2 linked regions of the Rhinolophus ferrumequinum genome follow. The protein of the gene in region 1 purifies or fractionates together with the protein of each later gene. This does not show direct contact. Links are inferred from orthologs where the notes say so. Each region holds a gene or a part of one and is shown on either strand. Other genes may lie near its edges. The genes, in order: HERC5 and ISG15.

What was found.
Region 2: the proteins of HERC5 (region 1) and ISG15 purify together in Homo sapiens (affinity purification with western blotting; 3 studies listed by BioGRID, with this or other methods). This does not show direct contact. The link is inferred for Rhinolophus ferrumequinum from reciprocal best matches to the Homo sapiens genes HERC5 and ISG15.

What each region holds. Positions count from the first base shown.
Region 1 is NC_046288.1:42,409,515-42,416,817, forward strand, and holds the start of HERC5 (E3 ISG15--protein ligase HERC5), read left to right. Parts: upstream 1-4,256; 5' UTR 4,257-4,394; coding exon 4,395-4,716; intron 4,717-6,608; coding exon 6,609-6,729; intron 6,730-7,303. Other genes in the region: probable E3 ubiquitin-protein ligase HERC6, read left to right, coding at 205-428.
Region 2 is NC_046292.1:228,646-234,370, forward strand, and holds ISG15 (ubiquitin-like protein ISG15), read left to right. Parts: upstream 1-3,982; 5' UTR 3,983-4,118; coding exon 4,119-4,121; intron 4,122-4,577; coding exon 4,578-5,069; 3' UTR 5,070-5,143; downstream 5,144-5,725.

The sequences.
Region 1 (7,303 bases):
CAAACCCGAGTTGTATGTAACTAGACCATGAACTCACTGAGGACAAAGACCAAATGTCATTTTTCTATGCTCCACATGGTCCTGTGTAGTTTTCTCTACACAAGGATACTCAATAAATATTTATTGAATGAAGTGATTAATTTCTTCATTTTCATTTTAAGTTTTGCTCTTTCTAGGAAATAACCAAAGGTTATTCCTTTCTAGTTTTTCTTACAGGAACTGATAGACAGCCTGTAAGAGGATTACAAGAAATGGGAATCATATTTCGCTGTCCTGAAACTTTCAGTGAAACAGATTGCCCAAGATCACTCGTATGTCATAATATTCTGGACCTTCCTAAATATTCTACAATGGAAAGAGTGGAAGAAGCACTTCAAGTAGCCATCAACAGTAACAGAGGATTTGTCACAACCAAGGTCACACAGTAATAGTGACCTCTGAGAGTCTCAGTGAGACCTCAGATTCTCAGGTCCTCTCTCACCTGTGATTGTGATGTTCTTCTTCAGGTCTACATAGTACAAAGGGTTGATGGATTTTAATTAGAATTAGTTGATAAATGTTGAGATAAACAATAAAGTGATGAATCAAGATAATATTTTTAATGAATCATATTTCCTGATACCTAAACTTGCTATTAGAATGTTTATTGAATTACTTCCTGAATAATAATTATCATTTAAAAATAGGCTGAATATTAAAAACTAACATATTTTTTAAAATATTATTCATCTAATAAACACTGCCTGCAAATATGAAAGTCTGAAAAAATAAACAAAAATGTAAACTAATTCAACATGATTTTGAGGCATATAGATGTATATTTTATACTGTGGAATATTGCCAGAGTTTTAATTTTAACCAAATGATGAATAATTTTTTTGAAAAATCTGAAAATCTAATTGTTAAGGGATTCATTAATTCATTGAATAATTACTTATGCTCAATCATTCTAAATGCAGACATCATTATTTTGGTTAAAAATACTGAGTCCAACCAGGAACTCTTGTTTAATTATAACTGGGGAAATGTGAAGAACCTGAAATATGTCTCAGCATCATGGCTATAGAGTAAATTAAAGAAGAGATGTAAGTATGGTTGGAAATGACCAATGAATTTTGTGATGAGTTCTATCTAATGTTAAATTTTAAACTAAGCTGTTCTATAAATGCCTATTATTTCAAGCCATACACAGAGCCTTGTGTTGGTGGTACTTTGGGAAAGGGAAGCCTATGGGGTAAAGTCCACGTTGGGGTGCTAATGTGGAAAGAGAGCAGGATCACCTGAAGATAGAACAGAGATAGAGATTTCACCAAGGACAATAGAATATGAGGTGGTCAGTAGAAACATAAGCCCCCCCAGCGAATCCTCAGTTATTTTGGACATGTTCGGTTTCTGCAACAAATGGAATGAAGACCCAGATATATTCTTTTTGAATTTTAAGGGAAAAGGTATTATCTAAACCTTAAGGATCCTCAGGCCCCTGACTTTCGGGTTGTGTTCGTCAGGCCTTTAACATCCAACATTACTTTTCCTAATGCCAATGGGTGAACTGTACTAAACATCTTTGCACTCTTTCAGAAAACAGAGAATAAGGGAACACTTAACAATTGATTCTATGAGGCCAGCATTATCCTAATACCAAAACCAGACAAAGACATTACAGGAAAAGGAAACTACAAATCTCCCTCATGAACATAGACACAAAAATATGTTAAAAAATTTTTGGCTAATACCTTGTGACTAAGTGGGGTTTAGTCCAGAAATGCATTTGAAAATCCATTATATTTCACCATAATAGACAGAAAAAAATCATATAATTACAACAGAGGCAGAAAAAAACCTCACAAAATTAATAGCTATTGATGGATGATAAATACTCCTAGCAAACTAAGACCAGAAGAGCACTTACTCAACCTGTTGGAGCCTACACACAGCTAACTTCATACTTTCTGGTGAAAGACAATGCTCTCCTACTAAAATTGGGAACAAGGAGAGGATGTCTCATAGTTTGTATTCAACATTGTACTAGATGTACTAGTCCATACAATAGGCCAGAGAGAATAAAAGGCATGTTGACTGGAAAATAAGGAGTACAACTATCTTATTTATAGACTGCATGGTCATCTATGTGTAAGATTCTAAGGGATTTACAAAACTACTAGAATTATTAAAAATAGAAAGGTTTCAGGATTCAGGGAAGTATATAAAAATTAATTGTATTTCTGTATATACTCACAACACTCATAAATTGAAATTTTAAGAAGTATCATTTGCAATATCAACAAAAAAAATACCTGAGGATGCATTTTTTTCAGGATAAATTTAAAATATGTTTGACTATACACTGAAAACTAGAAAATATAGCTGGAAGAGATTAAAGAAGCTTTAAATTAATGGAGAAAGATATGCTTGTGGACAGAAGAATCAATATTATTAGCATGTTAATTCTTTCCAAATTGATCTAATTTGGTATAATCTCAAAAATCCCTGCTGTTTTGTAGAAATTGATAAACTAATCATAAAATATATATGAAAATGCAGAGGACCTAGAATAGCCAAAACCACAATGGAGAAGTACAACAATGGAACACTTGAATTATTTTAAGACTTGGAATCCACAGTAATTCCAGGCAGTGTAATATGGGAGTAAAAATAGACATATAGATCAATAGAACACAACAAGTTCAGAAATAAATGCAATCATATATGGATCAACAGTTTTGACAAAGATGCCAAGGCAATTCAATGGGGAAAGGCAATCTCGAACAATTGGAAATCCATAAGAAAAAAAATAAACATCTCCCCTTACCTCACACAATAAACAAGAATTCATTTGAAATGTGACAAAGACCTGAAACTATAAAACTTCTAGAATATTTAAGAAAATCTTTGTAATCTCGGGTTAAGCAAAGATTTCTTAAGTAGGACAAAAAAGGCATGAATTAGGTAAAAGAAAAAAAATATTGCATCAAAATTAAAACGCTAGCTCTTTAAAAGACACGTTTAATAAAATTAAAAGACAAGCCACAGATTGGTACAAATCATCTGAAAACAAATATCTAATAAAAGACTTGATATATAACAAAGAACTCTGATGTATATGGAGCTTTTAGATGATAAGCAATTGAATAAATGGGCAAAAGATATGAATAGACACTTCACCAAAGAGAGATTAGCACTAAGAAGCACATAAAAAAAAACTCAACACCATTAAACATAGGGAAAGGGATATTAAAACTACAATAAGATACCACTATAGACTATTATTAAAAAAGACTGATAATACGAAATATTGGCAAAGACTGATAATACGAAATATTGGCAAAGATAGAGAACAATTGGAACGCCCATAAATTTCTGGAGGGAATGCAAATTGCTGGAGGTACAGCACTTTGGAATTCCAAAGTTTGGTAGTTTCTTACAATAACATTCACGTACTTACCATCTGACAGAGCAGTTTCATTTTTTAGGTATTTATTCCTCCCCCCAAATTAAAACATTGATCCACTAAAAGACCTGTTCACGAATATTCATAGCACCTTCATTCATTGTAGTCAAAAACTGTAAAGGACTGAAATGCCCTTCAATTGAACAGATCAACAAATTGTGGTATATACATATAATGGAATACCACTCAACAATAATGAAGAGGGAACTTCTGACGGAAAACAACAGGATGAATCTCAAAAGCATTATGATAATGAAAAACGGCAGACACAAAAGCCTGCATAAGTTTTATTCCATTTGTGAGAAATTCTAGAAAAGGCAAGAACTATATTGGCAGAAAGCCGATCCCTGGTTGCCAGGCAACGCGGTGTGAGCGGAGGGACTGGGTACATATTTTCACTTTCATCACTTTCATCACAAACTTGAGCTTTCCTTACTGCCTTAGTTTTTGGAAATTCTGCAAGTCCGACTGTGTTAGGGCTCCTCCTAGTGGAACTGCATTGTTTCTTCGAAGGCCATTTGGTCCAGTAGTTCAGATGGCCACTGCCCGCCCAGGGACGCGTTCTCAGCCCCGCCAGTCATCTCATCACCTGCCACCGACCTGGGCTCCTCGGCCGTCTCGCAAACCTTTCAGGAAAGGTTCAAGTTTCCCTTCCAGTTTCCGTTTCGGTACCGCCCCCTTGAAAAAAATTCTGTTTCGTTTCCCACTAGACCTGCCGGCTCCGCCCCCAGCCCGCAGCACGTTGGGAGGCTGGCGTCTGAGCAGGGGCGGAGTAGGGGCGGAGTAGGGGTGCGGGCGGTCCCTCGACGCCACTGAGCAGTTCGCTCGCCGGCTCCGCACCGCGCCGTCTGAGGGCAGTGGAATCTTTTAGGCCTTGGCCCTTTCTCTCCTTCCTCTTGCCTCCCGGCTGGCTGAAGCCCCGTCTCCGAAGAGCGGAGGTGCGGCTATGGAGCCTAGGAAAGCGGCGATGGAGCGGAGGCCACCGAGGAGGTCGCGGGGCGGCGCGCGCTCGACGTTCCGGCCGGCCGCCAAGTCCCCGCCACCACCCACCTCCCGGCCCGCCGCGACCCGGCCCCCCGCAGAGCCTCGGGGCCCGCAGCTCTGGCTCTTCCCCACGGCCCCGGGCCTCCGCAACGCGCTGCTCCGGAAAACTGAGGTGATGCGCCAGATGTGCTGCACGCGCGGGCGCCTGGTGGTGCTGGAGCGCGGCGGGGCTGGCGTCGAGGTGCACCAGCTGCCGGCGGCGAGCGACGGCGGCAGGAAGCCAAGTGAGTGGGCCCGGGCAACGCCAGCTCGGGGCGCGCGCGGGCACTGACACTGCTCTCCAGGGTGGCGGGAGTTGTGGGTACGCGGTCCCTCTGTACATGGGAAGGGAAACTCCGAAGGGAACCCGGCGCCGTAGCGGTCCGCGGTGCCTCAGAAAGGCGCCGGGCCTGGGTGGTTTTTCGCGTTCGCGCGTGCGGCACCCTTGAGGTCTCCATCCTGCTCCTAGAAAGCGCGGAGTTTGCGGGGTAGTAGCGAGAAGTAGTAGATCGTGCTCTCCTCAAGTTACCCGCGCGGAGGGAGTGTATTGCCAGCAACTTCATTTTAGCCAGTCGGCCGTTATCAGGGGTTTCTGTTCAAAGTTTGTTTTTGACTTGCTCCCTGTAAGAACATAGCGTATCCGATTTTGTGTCTTTGGAGAACACAATTATCTTGTTTTCGATGGCAATATGTTACATTTGCAAGCAGTTGAAGGAGCGCTTTCACTTGCACTGCTCCGAGGGAGTAATCTCCGTGGAGATTAGATCACGTACTGTGACTCCGATTTTACAAGTGGGGGAAAGCAAATGGCCACATTCTTACTGTTAAAAACTTTGGCCCTTTGATAAGTGAAGAAAATGGTGTTCTGTTCGTTTTGCTCTTAACTTGAGCGAAGTCGAGCTTCTTTTCTTTTGCTACTGGTCGTCGCATTCCTTTTTGATGAACTGCCTGTTCGTATATTCGCCTGGCTTTTAAAAAAAATTGAGTTGTTAATCTCTTTCTTAACTACTTTGAAAGAGTTATTTGAATTTTGAGTAAGAGGAGCCCTTTGTCAGTCATGTACGTTGTAGTATTTTACCCAACTTGCCTTTAGTTGATGTTATTTTATACTCTACTTCATTAATCTTTTCTTTTGAGGAGGCTTACGGATTTTGTGTTATGTTAGAAAGCTACCCACACAAGTGTTTTTCTTTTTTGCACTCATCTTTATAGAAATTTTAAGCATTTGTTTTTAAAGTTAAAGTTTTTGATACGCTTGGATATTATTTTGATTTAAGGAGTGAGGTAGGGGAATCTGGATTGGTTTGTTTTCACCAAATGGCCACCCAGGTATCCCAATACCTTTTTTGAATAACCCTTCTTTTTTAAACTGATTCGAAATGCCGAGACTCAAAATTGTTGATCTGTTGGGCCATTTCGTCTTTATTACCAAACCGTTTTGGTTCTCCTAGCATTTGTATAGTATGAAGCGGTTTGTGCTTTGAGATTTTACGTGAATCAATTCTATTTCGTTAGAACTAAAAAGTAAAACAAGATCCCAAATCTCCTGTATCCTACATTAATTTTTGTGATAGAATTAAATGAGGTAAGAGTAAATGGTAACTAGTGGACAATTTCAAATCTTAAAAATTCTTCTAACATCATCCCCGTCCCTCAAACACAGTTTAAGAATATAAGCCTTGGGTTTTATATGAAGCAGTCCATGAGGGGTTTATTATTATTTGTTTTGTTTTTGGAAAGAGTACAGCTCAGAATACACATTATATTTGCTCCTACGGTGAGTTATGTTGTCCAAAAATTGTTGTATTTTCTTTCTTCTGACTTTTTCATTTCTGTCTCTTTAAATTTAGTTTCTTTCTCAACTTGTTAAATAGGAATCTAATATCTAATTTTAATTGTTTTAAAAAACAGTATAAATCAGTGCTTTCCCAAATTAAAAGAAAAAATCAGTTGTCAAGACAGTAGTCATTACTAATTTGTCTGCTTTCTGTACTTGATTTTTCTTTAAAGAGAAGTTCTTATTAAGTCAAAGTTGAAGTTTTCCCCCCACGTGTTTTAAGTGTATTGTAATGAAATCATTAATAACAGTGGGTAATAATCAGAGTGATGATAGTTTCTGGTTGGATTTGCTCTGCAGAGTGCATTAAGTTAGGAAAAAAAATGAAGATACATTCCGTGGACCAAGGAGCAGATCACATGCTGATTCTATCCTCAGATGGCAAACCATTTGAGTACAACTATAGCATAGAACATGCAAGGTAGGGAACTTTTTTCTTTCGTTAAAAAATTTTAAAGTTTTACTCAAAAGTCAATCATAGTTTTTGTAGAAAAATGTTACTTTATATAATCTTTGTCCCTCCTTCACATCTTGGCATTTACAGTAAACTGGTCATGGCATTTAAAGTAAACAATGAATTTTGAACTGACTAGTTAATTCCTTGAGTAAACTACAAATCAATTTTTGTCTCCTAGAACACTTACCAAGTATTGCTTTGACATTTAAAGGAAATGATTGGTTAGTCTGCGTAGACCCAAATTGGACTTTCATATTCATTAACTCACTTAACCTCATAATAATCTTATAAATTAGATTTCCAGAAATAAAAGTTTTCAACCTAGGAAAAAAAATGCATTTTCATGGCATGGTCTGTGAGACTTTCTCCTGGTAGATCATGTGAATTAGAGCTTATTTTCATCTTTTATTATTCTTGCATCATAAAATTATTGTTTGCAAAAGAGTCTGAGAATCATCTTATTACAGTTACATAATGCACATTATTTTCCTTTTAAACAATAATTAAAATATATTGTATTTTTTATAATTTAGATGTA
Region 2 (5,725 bases), on another chromosome or scaffold:
AGGAAGTTTAAGTTAGTTTGTAACTATGCCCCAATATTAACCAAAGGCCCCTTTATAAGTGGCTGTTGTAATTTCACAAATAGGATAGTAAGGTTTATGACTAGAATTTAAATATTTTGTGGCTATGTTATTAGGTGTACACAACCTTCTACTGAGAAGGTGAAAACCTATTGTTATGCGACCTTCTGTGTCTCCAGTAAACTTTGCCTATAAGATTTCTTTATTAATATATTAATAAAATTGTTAAGTGGCCACATCTGCTTCCTTTTGGTTAACATTTGTATAGTATGTTTCTTTCCATCCTCTTTCAAATTTCCTGCATTCTTATATTTCAAATGATTCTTGTCTTCTGTAAGCCACATAAAGTAAGATTATTTTTCACCAGCCTGACAATCCTGGTCATTTAGTCCCCCTGGATTTCGGACCTCTGGCCTGCAGACCTGTGAGGGAATAAATTTCTGTTGTGTTAAGCCACCAGTTTGTGGTAATTTGTTATGACAGCCCCAGAAAACTGACAGGTGAGCCCTAGGTTCTGTCAGTTTGCCTCCTTAATGCCTTTGTATTTAGTTCCTCCTGTCAAAAGCAGAAGGACAATTGGTGACATGGGATGAAGTAACTAACAGAAAGGGAAGATTCTAGTACTAAATGTCAGTATTAAGAAGTCAGGAAAAAAAAAAAAAAAGAAGTCAGGAGAGGGCTGGCCCGGTGGCTCACATGGTTGGAGCTCCGTGCTCCTAACAGCAAGGTCGCCGGTGGGCTGCCGTGTGCTGCCAGGAGCGGCCGGTGGCCACTGTGAGTGGCCAGCGTGAGTGGCTGGCTGGCAGCTGGCGAGAGCTGTTGTGAGCTGCTGTGAGCGGCGGATTGATGACTGACAACCGACTGCCTGAGCTGGGGGGAGCGCAAGGCTCATAATACCAGCAGGGGCCAAGGAGATGTGTCCTACACAACTAGACTGAGAAACAGCAGCTTGAATCCGAGTGCGCGGGGGAAGGCAGAAAAAGGGGGGGGGAAGAAGTCAGGAGACATAGAAACCATGTTTAATAATGGTCATCTGAGGGGGGTTGGAGGGATTTTAACATTCTGCATGTTCTTTTTTATTGTTTCAAAAAATGCTGGTGGTTTTCTTTTTATAATACCAACATTATTTATGCAAGGAATGAGTCAAGATATAAACTTAAAATAATAAAAAGAAGTTAAAAATCAGTTTGGTTTTTTCTTGTGTGTTAACAATTTTGGTGCCCTGTGAGTTTTTTTTGGGGGGGACATGGAATGGTCAAGATTCATATTCAGCGTTTTTTTTTTCCCAACTTGCAAGATGGCGGGTGAAAAAGCTGAGAAGCCGGACACTAAGGAGAAGAAACCTGAAGCCAAGCAGGCTGATGCTGGTGGCAGGGTTAAGAAGGCTAACCTCAAGGCCAAAACGCCTAAGGAGGGGAAGCCCCACTGCAGCCGAAACCCTGTCCTGGTCAGAGGAATCGGCAGCTATTCCCGCTCAGCTATGTATTCCCGAAAGTCCATGGACAAGAGGAAGTATTCATCAGCTAAAATGAGGATTGAAAAGAAAAAGGGGAAGGTTCTTGCTACTGTCACAAAACCAGTTGTTGGCGACAAGAATGGTGACACCTGAGTGGTTAAACTTCGCAAAATGCCTAGATACTGTCCTACTGAAGACATGCCTCGAAAGCCGCTGAGCCATGGCAAGAAGCCCTTCAGTCAGTAGGTGAGAAAACCTGGGGCTAGCATTGCTCCTGGGACCATTCTGGTCATCCTCACTGGGCACCATAGAGGCAAGAGGGTGGTTTTCCTGAAGCACCTGAGCAGTGGCTACGTGTGACTGGACCTCTGTCCCTCGATCGAGTTCCTCTGCGTAGAACACACCAGAAATCTGTCATTGCCACCTCCACCAAAATTGATATCAGTGGTGTGAAAATCCCCAAACATCTCACTGATGCTTACTTCAAGAAGAAGCTGCATAAGCCCAGACACCAGGATCTCCAACACAGAGTAAGAGAAATATGAGATTACAGAGCAGCGCAAAATTGATCAGAAAGCCGTGGACTCGCAAACTCGGCCAAAAGTCAAAGCTGTTCCTCAGCTCCAGGGCTACTTCCATTCTGTGTTTGCTCTCACAAATGGGGTTTATCCTCACAAACTGTTGTCTACATTAATTACGAAGAACCTAATTAAATGCCTGAACTGTTAAAAAAAAAGATTCATATTCAAAACATTTTGTTTTTTTCCACTTTTACTTTTTTATATTAGACTTTCTTTATTTATATCTAACTTATGCCTGTTATGTGCTATTTGTAATAGTAAAAATTGGGTAACAACCTAAATATTCAACAATGTGGGATGGTTAACTAAATTACATTCTACACAGTACTGTAATGGACTCATTATACTAAGGGGAACCATTAAATGGTTGCATTTTATGGAACCATTAAAACAACTAGCACAAAGTATCTATTAATATGGAAAGATGTTTATGATACACTGTTATGAATAAAGCAGGAGTATAAGGGTTTTTCAGTTTTGTTTTTTATTGAGGTGAAATTCATGTAACATACAGGTAACCATCTTAAATTACATAATTGAGTGGCATTTAGTATATTTACGATGCTGGGCAGCCATCACCCCTATCTAGTTCCAAAACATTTTTGACAGCCACAAAGGAGGCCTTATATTCATAAAACAGTCACTTTCCACCCCAACCCTCCCCTTGGCAACCACAATTTTTGGTCTCTGTGGATTCGCCTGTTCTGGACATTTCACATAAATAGAATCATACAGCATGTGGCCTTTTGTGTCTGGCTCCTTTCACTGAGCATAATGTTTTCCAGGTCCAAACATGTCGTAGGGGGTGTCAGGGCTTGGTTCCTTTTTATGGCTGCATAGTATTCCATTGTAAGGTTAGGCTGCATTTTGTTGATGCATCCATCTGTGGATGGATTTGGCTGTTTGTACAGCTTTTAACATTTGTGTATTGTGACCAGTGCTGCTATGAACATCTGTGCACAAATACTTGTTTGAACACCTGCTTTCAATTATTTGGGGTGTATATCTTGGAGTGGAATTGCTGGATCCTATGAAATTCTGTTTTATCTTTTTGAGGGACGACTAGACTGTTTTCCACAGCCATCATACCATTTTACACTCCCACCAGCAGCATGTGAGGACTCCAATTTCTCTACATTCTCATCAACACTTGTTATTGTTGTTCTTTTTTTTTTTTACTACAGTCTTGCTAGTGGGTGTGAGGTGGTGTCTCATTCCGGTTTTGATTTTCATTTTCCTAATGACTAATGATGTTGAGCATCTCTTCATGTTTGTTGGCCATTTGTATATTTCCTATGGAGGTATGTGTATTCAATTCCTTTGCCCAATTTTTGAGTTATATTTTTGTTGTTGAGTTGTAAGAATTCTTTATATACTATGAGTTACTAGACCCTTATCTGATATATGATTTGCAAATATTTTTTCCGATTTTTGGGATAGTCTTTTCACTTTCTCCATAATGTCCATGAGTTTTTTTGTAGAAAAGATACATCCCTTTCATTAAAAAAAAAAAAAAAAAAAAAACAGAAAAAACACCCAAGCTGAACAAATATTGTCCAAAACCAGTGGTAATTATCTCGGGGTAGTTTCGAGTGTCACTATTTTATGTTATTTCCCGAATACCCATGATCGTGCTTTCTAAGTTTACTAATTTTGCAAGTTGGTAAATGGAGAGTGAAACGCTCTAATCATTACTTCACGTTTCTATGACTTTTGTGAATCACATAAAGGACTTGGATATGTAGGGAGTTTCTGAACATACACGCCTGCGGGGGGGAACGGGGGCGGTTTCTATTTAGTATCCCTGGGCTCACCTCCTCCGCGTCTCTTACAGTTTTTCAGATTTGTTTCTGCTGTGGGGCTAGCCTTGGGAAACGGAAACTGAAACCGAAGAGGACTTCAAGGGCCAGTGAGACTGGCTCTCAGACACGGCGCCCCGCCCTCTGACGTGTGTAGCTCATGTTCAGAAAAAGGCTGGGCGGTTAGGGCCGGGAGGAGTTGCGAGCGGAGAGGCAGCAAGCTCATCACTACCTGTGGAGGACCTGGTGCCAGAGCCCACAGCCATGGTGAGGCGGGTTGACAGGTGGGGCAGGTGGGCTGGGCACTCGTCGACTTGTCTCCCCCTCCCCTTGGCAGGACCTGGGGGAGGGACAGAGCACCTACTGTGTGCCAGACCAGTGGAGCTGCAGAGCTCCGCAGTTTCCCAAGTGTGGTGCAGGGACAGGGCTCCCGACGTCAGGGTCTTGGTCTTGGAAGGTGGGTTCTGCCCAGTGGCCAACTCTGAGGTCCCTTGGGGGGCATCTTAGCTGAAGGGAGGCAAAGTGGTGGTCGTGGGCGGCTGGCCGTTCTTCCAGAGAGGACCCCCTTGTGCGTCTCCAGCGCCTGGGGTCCCTCTCTTGGTGGAGAGGACCCAGAAGAGGGAACAGCGTCCTGGAGCCTAGGGGCTTGCCCTGCGGCCAGTACATAGCGTGTAGAGGCCCGAGGACTGGTGCCAGGGTCTCTGAGCTCCGTGTGTTGCACAGATAGGGGAACTGAAGGTGAAGATGCTGAGTGGCAAGGATTTATTGGTGCCCCTGAGGGACTCCATGCTTACAGCGGACCTGAAGCAGCGGATCGCCCAGGAAACTGGCGTGCCTGCCTTCCAGCAACGCCTGATCTCCCAGTCGTCCGGTGCGGAGCTGCAGGACAGGGCTACCCTCATCGGGCAGGGTCTGAGCCCCGGCAGCACGGTCCTGCTGGTGGTGCTGAGCGACGACCCCCTGAGCATTCTGGTGAAGAACGAGAGGGGTCGCAGCAGAGCCTACGAGGTCCAGCGGACGCAGACGGTGGCTGAGCTCAAGCAGCAGGTGCACCAGCAGGAGGGCACGCCTGCCGACCAGTTCTGGCTGAGTTTCCAGGGGAAGCCCATGGAGGACCAGCACCAGCTGGGGGAGTATGACCTCAGGCCCCATTGCACCGTGTTGATGAACCTGCGCCTGCGCGGGGGCGGGACGGGGCCAGAAGGGCCACGCTGAGGTCCCCACCGAAGTTCCCACCCAGTGCTTTAATAAAAATTGATGCCAAGTTAATTGGCTGCCTCTGCGTCTGCCCTCGCCCTACTCCCAGCACTCTGGCATCTGCCAGTTCTCCATTCTGCACCCCTGCTACTGAGCTTGGGGGAGGGGAGGTGGAGGGAGTAGGGCAAGGGGACCCAGGGTCCTTGGGTGGTTACCAGGCTGGGCTACCAAGTAAGAAGCAGCCTGATGGGATCAAAATAGTGAATGCCCACCCTGGAGAAATTGAACATGTGTCCCCACACCTTTGGAAAACTAACTGCTAGAGAAAGAGAAAGAAGCACATATGGAAACCATCCCTGCCCCAGGTGGAGCCGTGGTCAGCCCCTGCACAAATGGTCCCCCTCCAACATCTGGGTCAGCAGACAGCACAGGGGAGGGAAGGTCTGGTCAGGTCCCAAAGGCCACAGGTGAGGTCCCGACGGGGACCAGCACCCCTGGAAGTGGTGAGGAAGTGAGTCCCTAAGACCTGCCTGGGGGTTGTGGGTGCAGTCTCCTGGCCCTCCAGGGCCCCAGCAGCCTGCCCTGTCCAGCCTGCATTGGTCTGGGGAGGGGTGAGGACAGGGCCTTGAACACACATCACCATCGGGGTGAGCTGGGGAACGCAGACTGTTCGG